Linked DNA regions of Callithrix jacchus. The protein of the gene in region 1 interacts with the protein of each later gene in a pairwise test. Links are inferred from orthologs where the notes say so. Each region holds a gene or a part of one and is shown in the gene's direction. Other genes may lie near its edges.

Region 1 (6,561 bases):
GGTCCCTACCCCACTCCTTCCCCCATCCCTGTTCTAGATCCTTCTGTCTCTCTCCTATATCACTTCCTTTTTTTTTTTTTTGAGACGGAGTCTCACTCTATCACCGAGGCTGGAGTGCAGTGGTGTGATCTCAGCTCACTGCAACCTCCACCTCCCGGATTCAAGTGATTCTCTTGCTTCAGCCTCCCAAGTAGCTGGGACTACAGGCACTCGCCACCACACCCAAGAATTTTTGTATTTTTAGTAGAGATGGGGTTTCGCCATGTTGGTCAGGTTGGTCTCGAACTCCTGACCTCAAGTGATCTGCCTGCCTCGGCCTCCCAAAGTGCTGGGATTACAGGCGTGAGTCATGGTGCCCAGCCTGGCTTCTCTCTTGGAAACCACATCGGAGCCACTGCTCTCCCTCTCTATGCTATAAGCAGGCAGCTGTCCAGTCCTGCTCATGGCACTTCCCGGCCTCCAGAGGCTTCCCAGGCCCCATCTCATCCCATCGGCTTGGCATCTCAGGTATTTTCTAGCCCAATCAGACCCAATCTCTTTCTGAGCATCCGGACACTGCGTCCTGAGGGCACTGGGTAACTTCAAGCCTCCTACGCTTGGGAACCCATTCCTTGTAAAATGAGCCAACCCCCTTCCCTCCATCCTCTGATCTAGATGGTGGGGGAGGCATGCCATCTATCCCTCCTTACCAGGGACGCTGGGGCCCAGAGGAGGTGGGGAAGGGCAAGAGGTGCCCGCTGTGTACCAGGCCCTGGTAGGCATCATCATTTCTGTATTTGGGTCTCCCTGCTCTTCCCTGTCACACAGACTTGAGATCAGGGTGGGTCCGAGCCACAGAAAGCACACAGCCGTTCATAAGAGCCACGAGAATCACAGAAGGTGGCTAGGGCCCCAGGATGCGGCTGAGACCCGAGGGGGTGGCCTCCAGGCCAGGCTCACCTTGGGGTCTCTCTTCAGGCGCAGGCGGTGGCCCCAGTGCGGGGTCAGGGACTGCTGGACCACGCCACGGTGCCGCAGGTGAAAGTACTGCCCGTCAGGGAAGATCTGGGGATGTGGGGAAGCGGCCGCACGGATGGGACCCGGCTCCCCTGCTGCAGCCCCCGAGGGCCGGGAAACCCCCCTGCCTTGTCCTTCCCCACCAAGTGCCCTCAGAAACTGAGCTTGGCTGATGCAGGGGTGGGCTGGGGCTCTTGATACTTAGGAGACCTTGGGGGCTCCCTCCCACTTGTCGGGGTCTGGGGCCGTCCAGTCCCCTCGAGCCCCCACTTCCTGTCCATCCCGGTCCCACCCACCGGCCCCAGGTTGACGAAGCCGAATTTGCGTGCCAGGCGCTCGGCCTCCCGGTTCCCCTGGGACACCCGCACGGCCCAGCTGCTGACATAGATGGGGGCCCGGGACGAGGCCCACCCCACAGCCAGGGGGCCTACGAGGGCCAGGGCCAAGGCCAGGCGCAGCCATAGCGCAATCGGGGCGGGCCTCATGGACGCGGGGCGGGGAGGGGGCGGGACCTGAGCAAGCCCCTCCCCCGCCAAACCGCCGAGGGGGCCCAGGCGCCCGCCACGCCCCCGGCGCCATGGCAACGCGGAAGGCTTCGACTCCCAGGGGGCCTTGAGGCTACCCCCGCCGAGAGGCGCGAAGATCTGACAGAAGCGGGAAGGAGGCACGCCTGCCGGCCTTCCGCAGACCCACAGCCTCGGGAGCCTCAGTTCCCCCATTTGTACAACGACAATAATCTAAACCAGAGAAGGGGAGTCACTCGTGGTAACGCGTCCAGCACTTTCTTTGGCCTCGCCCACTTTCCCACACACCCCCTCCTTCGAGAATCAGCCCGGCCTCCTATCCGGCCCAATCAAAATCGCTCTATCGAGCAATCCCGCCTCCTCCAATAAGCCCCGCCCAATTCCCCGCCCCTACTAATCAGCCCCGCCTCCTTTACGGATCAGACCGCCCCTCCTCCGGCTTCACCAATGAATCGCGTACCGTTTCCCCAATCGGCTCGGATTTTTCTCCAGCCCCGCCCACAGGCTCCTCCTTCCACCGCGTGCCGCGCCTCACCCTAGCTCCACCCCCCTCAGCGTCGCAGCCAATAATCCCGTCCCCTGACACCGCCCCTCCAATCAGCTACGTCTCGCTCCCGCCCGGCCAATCGGTGCCCTGAACTGGTGCGCCCCGCCCTCTCCAGGCGGGGTCTGCGCAGTGGCGGCCGCAGCCCCCCCAGAGGGCGATGCGGCGGGGGAGACGGGGCAGGCCCCACCTCCTTTGTCCGCCGTGCCCTCCCATTGGTCCGGGCGGGGGGCCGGGGGCGGACACCGGCGCGGGGCCCGGACAGCTCGGCTCCCGCTGCGAGAAAGCTGCGCGCGTGCAGCGGGGCGGGCGCGCGGGGCCGCGGGCGAGCTCGAGCAGCCAACGCCGGGCGCGCCGGGGCCATGGACGGGCTGAGCCAGCGCGTGGAGCGCTTCCTGGAGCAGAGGAACCTGGTCACCGACGCGCTGGGGGCGCTGGAGGCCAAGACCGGGGTGGAGAAGCGGTATCTGGCTGCAGGTGAGCGGTCGGCGATCGCCCGTTTCGCCGACGGGCACATCGAGGCCACGGGCCCGGGGGTCGCGGATCGGACTCCCTCCCCGGCTGCGGGGTCCGGTCCGGCCGGTGGAGCGTGCGGGGTGACCGGGACCTCGGGGTCCGCCCGCGCCCCCCTTTCCAGCCTCCTTCCCGGCGCTGGGTGCCCGCCACGCCGAAGTCCGGTTCTTCCAGTTGCCCGGTGGCCCCGGAGGGGTGGGGGTGGGGATGCCCGTGACCCGCGCGTTTCCCCGTCCCCTGCCCCCCGTGGACTCCGGGAGGGGAACGGACCGTCCCTGGGGGGCTACCGGGGGGCTGCCCAGGACCCTCCTCCCGGCTGGCCTAGTCTCCTTCCCCCGGCTCAATGGCTTAGTGCCACTGCGCGTAAATATTTAAGACGAAGCTGGGTCGTCTGACAGCTGTGATGGGGGGAGGCTGGACTGGCGCCCGCGGAGCTCCAGATCCCGACACCCCGATTGTGACTCCATGTTCTCCTGGTCCTTTCCGCCTTGGTGACACTGTGCGGCCCTGCCCCTTTCCAAAACTGTCTAGAGCGCGCATGTAGCAATCGCTCCTTAAATGCCTCCCTCTCCACCTTTAAAAGTTTTTTTTTTTTTCTTTTTTTGAGAGGGAGTCTTGCTCTGTTGCCCAGGCTGGAGTGCAATGGCGCGATCTCGGCTCACGGCAACCTCCGCGTCCCGAGTTCAAGCAATTCTCCTGCCTCAGCCTCCCGAGTAGCTGGGATTACAGGTGTGCGCCACCATGCCCAGCTAAATTTTGTATTTTTAGTAGAGATGGAGTTTCACCATGTTGACCAGGCTGGCCTCGAACTCCTGATCTCAAGTGATCCACCCACCCCGACCTCCCAAAGTGCTGGGATTACAGGCGTGAGCCGCCGGCCCTGCCCAGCCTAAAACTTTTTAAAATTAACTTTTTTAAGAGACAGGGTCTCACTATGTTACCCAGGCTGGTGTCAAACTGGGCTCAAGTGATCCTCAGCCTCCCGAAGCTCTGGGATGACAGGAGGGAGCCACTGTACCCAGCCTTTCTTCCCTTTGTGTGGTGCTCCCAGCCCCACTGGCCCTGCCTTCTTTTTCAGGGAGCCTGGCAGAGTAACTCACAAGGATTTTCTCTAGCCTGGGGCGCAGTGGGTAGCGGGCAGTGCCACTTTTTTGAGCACCTCCTGCAGGCAGATCCCAGGACTCCAGTTTCCCCCGTTTTCCCACCATCTGGGAGTTCCCATGCCTGGCAGCCCCAGGACAGTCTGAGATCTGTTCCCAGACCCTGGAGGTCCCCAGGTGCCTGGTCCCATGTGCACAGCACAGCAGGTGGCATGGCCCCCTGTGCCTGCCCCGGGGAGCAGGCCCCTGACCTCTGCCCTCCCTTTCCACATCCCTGGGGCCAGTGGGCGGGAATTGAGGTCATAGAGCGCCCAGGAGGCAGGCAGCAGGGACGGGCTGGCTGGGGCACTGTGTTGCCAGGGAGGAGGCTGAGGTACAGGGAGGCAGGGGCTGCCTATGTGCCTGCTCTGTCTGAAGCATACGCCCCCTCCACCCTGCCCACCCCAGTCCCATCTGCTGCTAATCTTGGGGGCTGTGCCCCGTCCACACTTCCCATGTTCAAGGTCATCCTCCCAGTGCTGAACCTGCAGAAAAAGGGATTTAGGGGAGGGACGCCCTGGGAGAGCCATTCCTCCCCCACCAGGGAGGCCCGGGGAAAGGTGGCGTTCCCTCATCCCCCTGTATCCCCCTCCCCCGCAACCCCGCACCTCCTTTAAACCCATAGGTCCTACACCCCTGGGTAACATGAAGAAACTCAGAGGAGACAGTGGCCCGGAGGCCGCATAGCCTGCTGGGACCAGCTGGGGGACCCCTCCTACCCCGACCTTGGGTGCTTGTCGATAAAGACTGATGCTGGCCGAGGGGAGGGCTGGGCTGCGGAACTTGGGCGTCTGCCCTTTGGTCGGCAAGTGGCCTCTATCTCTCTCTGCAGATAGCAGCCCCAGGGGAGGAGAACGGAGGCTGTCCCAAGCCTTCTGAGCCCAGAGGTTCCCTGTGTGACCTTGGGCAACACCCACCCAGCCCAGTTCTGGCTGTTGCATGAGACAGTTCAGGGAAAGCACAGAACCTGGCACACAATAGGCGCTTAATAAATGCAGTTGTCACAGTCATTCTTTCCAGAGCCAGGTTCAGGATTGGGGCAGAGCTGGATGCGGACACACACACACTCTTCTCTCTGAAGACCCTCCTCACTAGAACTGTGTTACAGTAGCCTGAAGGCGCTTAATAATTGTACAGGAAGGCCAGGTGCAGTGGCTCACACCTGTAATCCCGCCCTTGGGACACAGAGGAGGTGGGGGGGGACCCTGAGGTCAGGAGTTTGAGACCAGCCTGGTCAACACGGTGAAACCCCATCTCTACTAAAAATACAAAAGTCAGCCTGGCAGGGTTGTACACGCCTGCGGTCCCAGCTACTCGGGAGGCGGAGGCACGAGAATCGCTTGAGCCCAGGAGGCGGAGGTTGCAGTGAGCTGGGATTGTGCCACTGCGCTCCAGGCTGGGCAACAGAGCGAGACTCCGTCTCAAAAAAATAAAATGTGCAGAAGGGTGTTTGTTCTCTTTGTTAACTTGTAACCATAAGAGGCAGGGGCCATTACTGCTCCCACTTACCGAGGGGGAAACTGAGGCTCCATGCAGCCAGAGCCTTGCTCGCTCCGGGCTACTGAGTGCACAGCTGACCGAAGGGGCCCTCCTCCGCCCGGGGCATTGAGAGCTGAGGTTTGCTGCGCCCATGACGGTGCCGCCCCCCGCCCCGGGGACGCTGGCAGATGTCTGTCTGTGGTTGTCAGGACTGGGGAGCTGATGGCATAGAGCGGGTAGAGGCCAGGGACACTGCCCAGCACCCTGGAGTGCCCAGATGGGTTTCTCCCCCTCCCCGAGGAAAACCACCAAGAATGACCCCCTATGCTAAGATAGCAGATAAAACGGTTACCTTTCTCGGCTCTGGCACTGAGTCTTGGTGACTGCCCCGCCTCCCTTTCCGGTCTCTGCCTTCCCTTATATTAAAACACTGACCTCCTTTCCCAGGGCCTCCCATCGGGCCTGGACTGAGACAGGGATCGTTGCGGATTACATCGTTTTTCTTTGAGATAGAGTCACTCTCACGCAGGCTGGAGTGTGGTGGTGAGTTCTCCGCTCACTGCGACCTCCGCCTCCCGGGTTCAAGCGATTCTCCTGCCTCAGCCTCCCGAGTAGCTGGGACTACAGGCGCGCGCCACCGTGTCCAGCTAATTTTTGTATTTTTTAGTAGAGACAGGGTTTCACCATGTTGGCCAGGCTGGTCTCGAACCCCTGACTTCAGGTAATCCACCCACCTGAGCCTTCCAAAGTGCTGGGATTACAGCCATGAGCCACCGCACCCGGCCAGATTACACTCATTCACTCGACAAACGCTTACTGGGCAGCTATTCTGCACCCACCCCACTGCCTGCCACCCCAGCGTCGGGCTCCTGCCTGCCCTTGGGAGCTCCCAACCCCGGGAGAGGGGGGACGTGGAGACACGGACCAGTTACAGGTGAAAGGCTCAGGCTTAGGGCCGCGATGGGGGGTGCAGAGTTTGTGGGCAGTGGTGACACCCTAGAGGCGTCACGGAGGCTTCTGGGAGGAGGTGACGGTTGCAGACTCCCAAGAGGAAGCCTGGTGCCGTCACGGGGGTCAGAGGGTCCCTGGCCCCGGCCCACCGCCTCCTCTCTCCGGCAGGAGCCGTCACTCTGCTAAGCCTGTATCTGCTGTTCGGCTACGGAGCGTCTCTGCTGTGCAATCTCATCGGATTTGTATACCCCGCATATGCTTCGTGAGTGCGCAGCTGGCTACGTGCGTGGGGGGCTGGGGGGGTTCCCGGGCAGCCCCTGACCCTGCCGCGTCTCCCGGCAGAATCAAAGCTATCGAGAGCCCAAGCAAGGACGACGACACGGTGTGGCTCACCTACTGGGTGGTGTACGCCCTG
Region 2 (6,456 bases), on another chromosome or scaffold:
AGGAGGGTAGCCGGGTTTAACGAGGAGCAATGGAAGAGGGTGATGTTGGGGTTCTCAATAAACAGTAGGTGAAGCAGTTGGATACGGGAGGGCCCAAGGTGGGGCAGGGAGTGTTGACTGAGCAGCTCGGTCAACCTGTGTGGAGAAAAGACTGGGAGTGGGAGTTGTAGATTGATCTTAAGAGCTTCTGTGGTTAGGGTGACAGCGGCCACTAGGGCTCTAAGGCAGGGCTCCCATCCTCGTTCAGTTGGGTCAAGTTGTCTGGACAGGTAGGCTGTGGGAAAAAGGGTCTTTCCTACTGGTTGGACTAGCACTCCTACAGCTGTGTGTTGTTTCTCGTCCATATATAATTGGAAGGGTAAGTTGGGATTAGGCAGGGCTAGGCTGGTGGAGGTACATAGGGTGTTAAGCAGTGACTTGAACGCCTGATTGACAGAACCTGGTGAGGAAAGTGGTCCTTCGGGGGCTTCTGCAGCAGCATGGTATAGGGGCTTAGCTAGCAAAGCATAATTAGGTACCCAGTGGCGAAAAAACCCTACTAGTCCTAGGAAGGAGAGGATTTCTTTTGCTGACTCAGGGGCCTGGAGCACTTTTAAGGCTTGTAGTCGGTCGATTGTGATGGACCGTCGCCCAGGCGTGAGCTGTATACCTAGGTAGGTGACGGTGGGTGAGGCTATTTGTGCTTTGGTTGGCGACACCTGGTATCCCCTGTCTCCTAGGAAATTGAGTAGGGCGGTGGTGGCCTGGATACACTCCTGGCAGGTGGGAGAGCAGATAAGAAGGTCATCTATGTACTGGAGGAGGTGAGAGGGTTTGAGGTTGCAGTGGAGTAGGTCGGTGGTGAGTGCCTGGCCGAATAGGTGCGGGCTATCTCGGAAGCCTTGTGGAAGGACTGTCCAGGCCAGTTGTTGGGACATGTTCGTGAGGGGATCATCCCAAGTGAAGGCAAAGATAAAGTAGGAGTTGGGGTGTAGAGGTATAGTGAAGAAGGCATCCTTTAGGTCTAAGACTGAGAAGCAGGTGGTCCCCGGGAGAATGTTAGAGAGAATGGTGTATGGGTTGGGGACAACTGGATGTATGGGAATTACGGCTTCATTGATTAAGCACAAGTCCTGGACCAGTCTATATTGTCCTGAGGGTTTTCGTACTGGGAGGATGGGGGTATTACATGGGGAGTTAATGGGGATTAAGAGGCCTTGACCTTTTAGTTTCTCTCTGATGGGTCGGATACCCATACGGTGGGCTTTAGAGATGGGAAATTGAGGGCGGGAGAGAAAATGAGGCGAGGAGTCTTTAAGGCGGACTTGAACTGGCTGGTGGTGTGTAGCTACAGACGGGTTGTTAATGTCCCAGACCTGAGGGTGGACTCTGGGGAGTAGTTCGGATAGGGCTTTTTGGTGTTCGGTATCTGAGGTGAGGGCTAGGAGAAAGAGGCTATGTGAGTTGGCGGTGGGGAAGGTTATGATGGCCTTTAGCTTTGAAAGGATGTCTCGTCCTAGGAGGGGTACTGGGCAGGTGGGGATTACTAAAAAGGAGTGGGTAAATGGAGTGGAGTTATATGAGCACATGAGCGGTGGGGTTTGGTAGGGGATACTTGGGGTCCCGTCGATTCCCATGACTGAGACCTGGGAAGGGGTAAGATGGCCAGAATAGGAAGGAAGTATGGAGTAGGTAGCCCCCATGTCCAGCAAGAAGGAGACACTTTTACCCGCTACCTGAAGTGTGGCCCTAGGCTCGGCGAGGATAACCAGAGTCGGGGAGCCAGGGCCCCGCTAGTCGTCTAGCAGCTCTAGTAGACTGGGGAATGGAGCCCCCTCGGAGGTCGGCTCCTGGCAAGCAGGCTCCTCCCTACTGAGGGTGACCGCCGGCTGCATAACGCCAGTGTGTCTGTTTTGAGGAACCGGCACCCTGGGAAAGCTGGGGCAGTCTGACCTCCAGTGTCCCAGGAGCTGACAGGCAGGGGAAGGCTTAGTTCGTGGCCGTGGTTGTGGACAGGCCCGGGACCAGTGTCCTTCCCTTCCACATTTGAAACATGCCCCCGGAGGGGTATGGGTTTCGGCCTTGGGCCTCTGATTCCCTGCCGGCCTTAGGGCTGCCACTAGGGCTTGGGTCTGGAGGGCAACCTTCTGCTTCATGCGAGTTTGCCGGGCAGCCTCAGCCGCATCTTCCCTGGCATTGAATACTTTAAAGGCCATTTTTACCAGGTCTTGGATGGGAGTCTCTGGCCCCTCTTCTGCTTTCTTTAGTTTCCTTTTTATATCGGATGCTGATTGGGAGATAAAATGGGAGGCTAGTACAGTGGCTCCGTTTTGAGAGGCTGGATCTAGCCGAGTGTACCGGACTAGGGCTTCTTGTAAGCGGGCGAGAAAAAGGGCGGGATTCTCATCAGGTAGTTGGGTGATTTCTCTTAGTTTATCATAGTTTACAACTTTGTTAGATACAATATCCATTCCCCTGAGGAGGTATCTAATCATGCGGTCCCTCTTGGGTATATCAGACCCTCGACTAGCCTGATAGTCCCATTGGGGGGTCTTCACCTGGGATTACTTCGGGGCCTAAGGGGATCTGGTTATCTATAGCATGATCTTTATCTGCTTGGTTTTTGGCTGCCACTAGGATGTGCTCGTGCTCCTCTACTGTGAGGGTGGAGGTACAGATAACGCGGATATCATGCCAAGTGAGGCTGTATGCTTGAGTGAGGTATTGGAATTCCTTAATATAGGTGGACGAGTCGGCTGAGAAGGATCCTAACCGTTTCTCAATTTGGGACAGGTCTTGGAGTGAGAAAGGAACATGGACCCTGACTAAGCCTTCAGTGCCTGCTACTTCTCGGAGTGGGACCAGGATAGTTGGTTGGTGAGAGCGGGTGTGGGCTGCCACTGGGGAGGCAAGAGGAAGAGCGGCCTCCGAGGGAGGGGGCCCAGAGGGAGTGGAGGAAGAGCGAGGCATGGCCTCTGAGATAGAAGGTGCAGAGGGAGTGGGGGAAGGGCGTGCTGTTGAAGGCGACTGGTTGCCGAGGTTGGCAGGAGGGGACAGATGTTCAGGCAGATCTTCCGGTGAGGAGTAGGGAGGGGGAGAGGTAGTGGAGGAAGATTTACGAGGGGTACGAGCTAAGAGGATTTGGTAGGTGGAGCAGGAAGAACATAGGTTGGGGTGGGTACGGAGGTCCCAAAAAGCCTGAACGTAAGGAATTTCATTGTCTTTTCCCATGCGGCGACAAAAATTGTCGAGATCTCGGAGGGTGTTGAAATCGAAAGTGCCAGTCGGGGGCCAATGTGACTGGTTACTGAGTTTGTATTGGGGCCAAGCCACCTGGGACAGGAAGACAAGCTTTTTCTTTCTGAGGGTTTGGGAGTATCCCAATTTGGTAAAATTTCGCAGCAAGCACCCAAGGGGGGTGCTGGAAGGTATTTTGGACTCCGAATTTCCCATGGCAGGTGCAGCTACAGACCCTCCGGCGCGGTTGGGTAGATGCAAAGAAAAGGCGTCCCCTTTCGTTGCAAATTCCCAGGAGTACGGTTAAGGACGGTTAGGGAAGTGGTCAGAGGGGCGTCCCCCGTCTGGCAGCTACCCCTCGGAAGGCTCCAGGAGCCGGAACGGAGGACTACCTCGGCTCGGCCGAGACTAGGCGAGGAGTCCGTGTGGAACGCCGGAGGGGAGCAGCTGCAACCGTGCCGTAGGAGGGGTGGGGGGGGAGAGAAGGTAAAGCTAGAAAAAACTTGGCTTACCTTAATCGGAGCGCAGAGGTGGCAGGGCCAGTGTTGGGTAGGTCGGGGGGAGGGGGCCATGGCCGGGCCAGCGGCCCCAACTCCCGGGTTTCGGCACCACTTGTCCGACCTACCCTCTATGGGAAGATCAGAGCTCGTTCAGAAAAAAACTGGGCCGCAGGTTAGAAGAAAGTCTTAAGTTCAGGCTTTATTGAGAGGAAAGAGCCTCCGGGCGGACCAGCCGGGAAGCACATGAAAATGGCCGCGCCGCTCAGAGGAGCAGAGTTCTTTTATAGGGAGCTGAAGGGCTGAGGGAGTGGGGAAGCCGAGAGAGCCGAGGTGGCGGGCAACGGTTGGTCAGTTTAAACCGCTGGGCGGGAAGCTGGGCGGCAGGAAACTGGGAGGCGGGAAGCCGGGAGGCAGGAAGTTGGGGAGAGCTGATGAGGCGGGTGGTGATTGGTCAGCCGGTTGCCGGGCGGGAGGTGGCTGTGGCCGGGCGGGAAGGCCAGGACGGTATGTAGAGTGAGAGATAAGGGAGTCCCTTTGTGTGGGAGGGGGAAGGCTTTCACGACAGGGACAGAGTTTTCCAAACAACTTTGGCTTCCCAAAGTGCTAGGATTACACCTTGACTGGCTGATACTGGAGTTTTATGACTGAAGTCAGTCTCCCTGAAAATGCAGAGGCTAGGGTTGTTCAAGGACAGTTTGGCTAGCCAGGAATGAGTGCTGCTGATTGGCTGGAGAGACAATGATAGGTGTGTGGAAAATGGTCCTTGTGTGCGCTGAGTCCTCAGTACTTGTCAGAAATGCAAAAACCTGAAAAGACATTTCAAAAGGCTGATCTTAGATTCTACAATACTGATGTTATCTGCAGGGGTGACAGGGGAAGTCGTAAATCTTGTGACCTCTGGAATAATGGCTGGTAATCATGTATCTCGACATATAGCAGAATTTAGCTTTCTCTCATTCTTTAGCTTCCTAACCTGGTGGTCTTTTGTTAGCTTTACAAAAGCAGTCGAGTTTTGGGAAGGGAATCATTATCATTAAACTATGCACTAAAGCTGGGTGTGGTGGCTCATGCCTGTAATCCCAGCACTTTGGGAGGCTGAGGCGGGTGGATCATGAGGTCAAGAGATCAAGACCATCCTGACCAACATGGTGAAACACTGTCTCTATTAAAATATATAAAAATTAGTGGTGGCACGTGCCTGTAGTCCCAGCTACTCAGGAGGCTGAGGCTGGAGAATCGCTTGAACCTGGGAGGCGGAGGTTATAGTGAGTCAAGATCACACCACTGCACTCCAGCTTAGATAACAGAGCAACACTCTCTCAAAGCAAAACAAAACAATACACCAAAACCAAAATGGTCACTTAAACTATAAACTAAATGTTCCCCAGAGTTAGTTAGTCCCAAGCCCAGGAATGATGGAGAGCAGTTTGCAGGTGAAAGACAAGATGGGGGCTGGTTAAATCAGATCTCCTACACAGTGACAATTTTCCGTTAAAATTTTTGCGAAGATGGTTTCATCTGTGTGCACGTGTGCAGAAGTGCCTGTCTCTGCACATGTGTATTCCTGCCTATTTGTGTGTGAGTTGCTGAGGTTCCATACGTCCCTCTGCCTGTGTCTGTGTATTGCTAAGTGGCCTTACATGTCTGTGTGTATGATGCCACTAATGACAGCAAACACATATGTGGCACTTCCTGTGTTCCAGGGTGTGAGTGCTGCGCATGCACCAACTCAGTCCTCCCAACGACCCTTTCAGGTGGGGAAAGGAGTCCCGATCCAGACCCCCAGAGAGGGTTCTTGGATCTCTTATAAGAAAGCCTTCAGGGGAAGCAGGTGGAGTAAAGTGGAAGCAAGGTTATTAGGAAAGAAAAGGAATAAAGAATGGCCTCTCCCTAGACAGAGCGGACCTGAGGGCACTGCTGGCCATTTTTATGGTGATTTCTTGATTATATGCTGAACAAGGGGTGGATTACTCATGCCTCCTTTTTAGACTATAGGGTAACTTTCTGATGTTGCCATGGCATTTGTAAACTGTCATGGCGCTGGTGGGAGTGCAGCAGTGAGGACGACCAGAGGTCACCCTCGTCGCCATCTTGGTTTTGGTGGGATTTGGCCGGCTCTTTTACTGCAACCCGTTCAGTCAGCAAGGTCTTTTATTATTATTATTATTTTTGAGACAGAGTCTGGCATTGTCGCCCAGACTGGAGTGCAATGGCGTGATCTCGGCTCACTGCAGCCTCTGCCTCCTGGTTTCCTGTGATTCTCCCACCTCAGCCCCTCGAGTAGCTGAGATTACAGATGCACACCACCATACCCGGCTAATTTTTTGTATTTTTAGTGGAGATGGGTTTTCACTGTGTTAGCCAGACTGGTCTCAAACTCTTGACCTCGTGATCCACCTGCCTTGGCCTTTCAAAGTGCTGGGATTACAGGCGTGAGCCACTGTGCCCAGCCTATTTTTTTTTTTTTTTTTTAGAGATGGAGTCTCGCTCTGTCACCAGGTTAGAATGCAGTGGCACAATCGTGGCTCACGGCAAGCTCTGCCTCCTGAGTATACAGGCACGCGCCACTATACCCAGCTAATTTTTGTATTTTTAGTAGAGACAGGGTTTCACCATGTTGGCTGAGATGGTCTTGATCTCCTGACCTCGTGATCCACCTGCCTCGGCCTCCCAAAGTGCTGGGATTACAAGCGTGAGTCACCACGCCCAGCAGCAAGATCTTTAGACCTGTATCTTGTAT

The links.
Region 2: the proteins of REEP6 (region 1) and LITAF interact in binary tests that used the Homo sapiens proteins (3 or more experiments, as listed by UniProt). The two-hybrid records come from large-scale screens. The link is inferred for Callithrix jacchus from reciprocal best matches to the Homo sapiens genes REEP6 and LITAF.

What each region holds. Positions count from the first base shown.
Region 1 is NC_133523.1:1,411,983-1,418,543, forward strand, and holds the start of REEP6 (receptor expression-enhancing protein 6), read left to right. Parts: upstream 1-2,344; 5' UTR 2,345-2,426; coding exon 2,427-2,541; intron 2,542-6,314; coding exon 6,315-6,408; intron 6,409-6,488; coding exon 6,489-6,561. Other genes in the region: PCSK4 (proprotein convertase subtilisin/kexin type 4), read right to left, coding at 940-1,044, 1,293-1,481. UniProt on the Homo sapiens protein: Required for correct function and survival of retinal photoreceptors. Required for retinal development.
Region 2 is NC_133513.1:17,478,113-17,484,568, forward strand, and holds the start of LITAF (lipopolysaccharide-induced tumor necrosis factor-alpha factor), read left to right. Parts: upstream 1-2,652; 5' UTR 2,653-2,856; intron 2,857-6,456.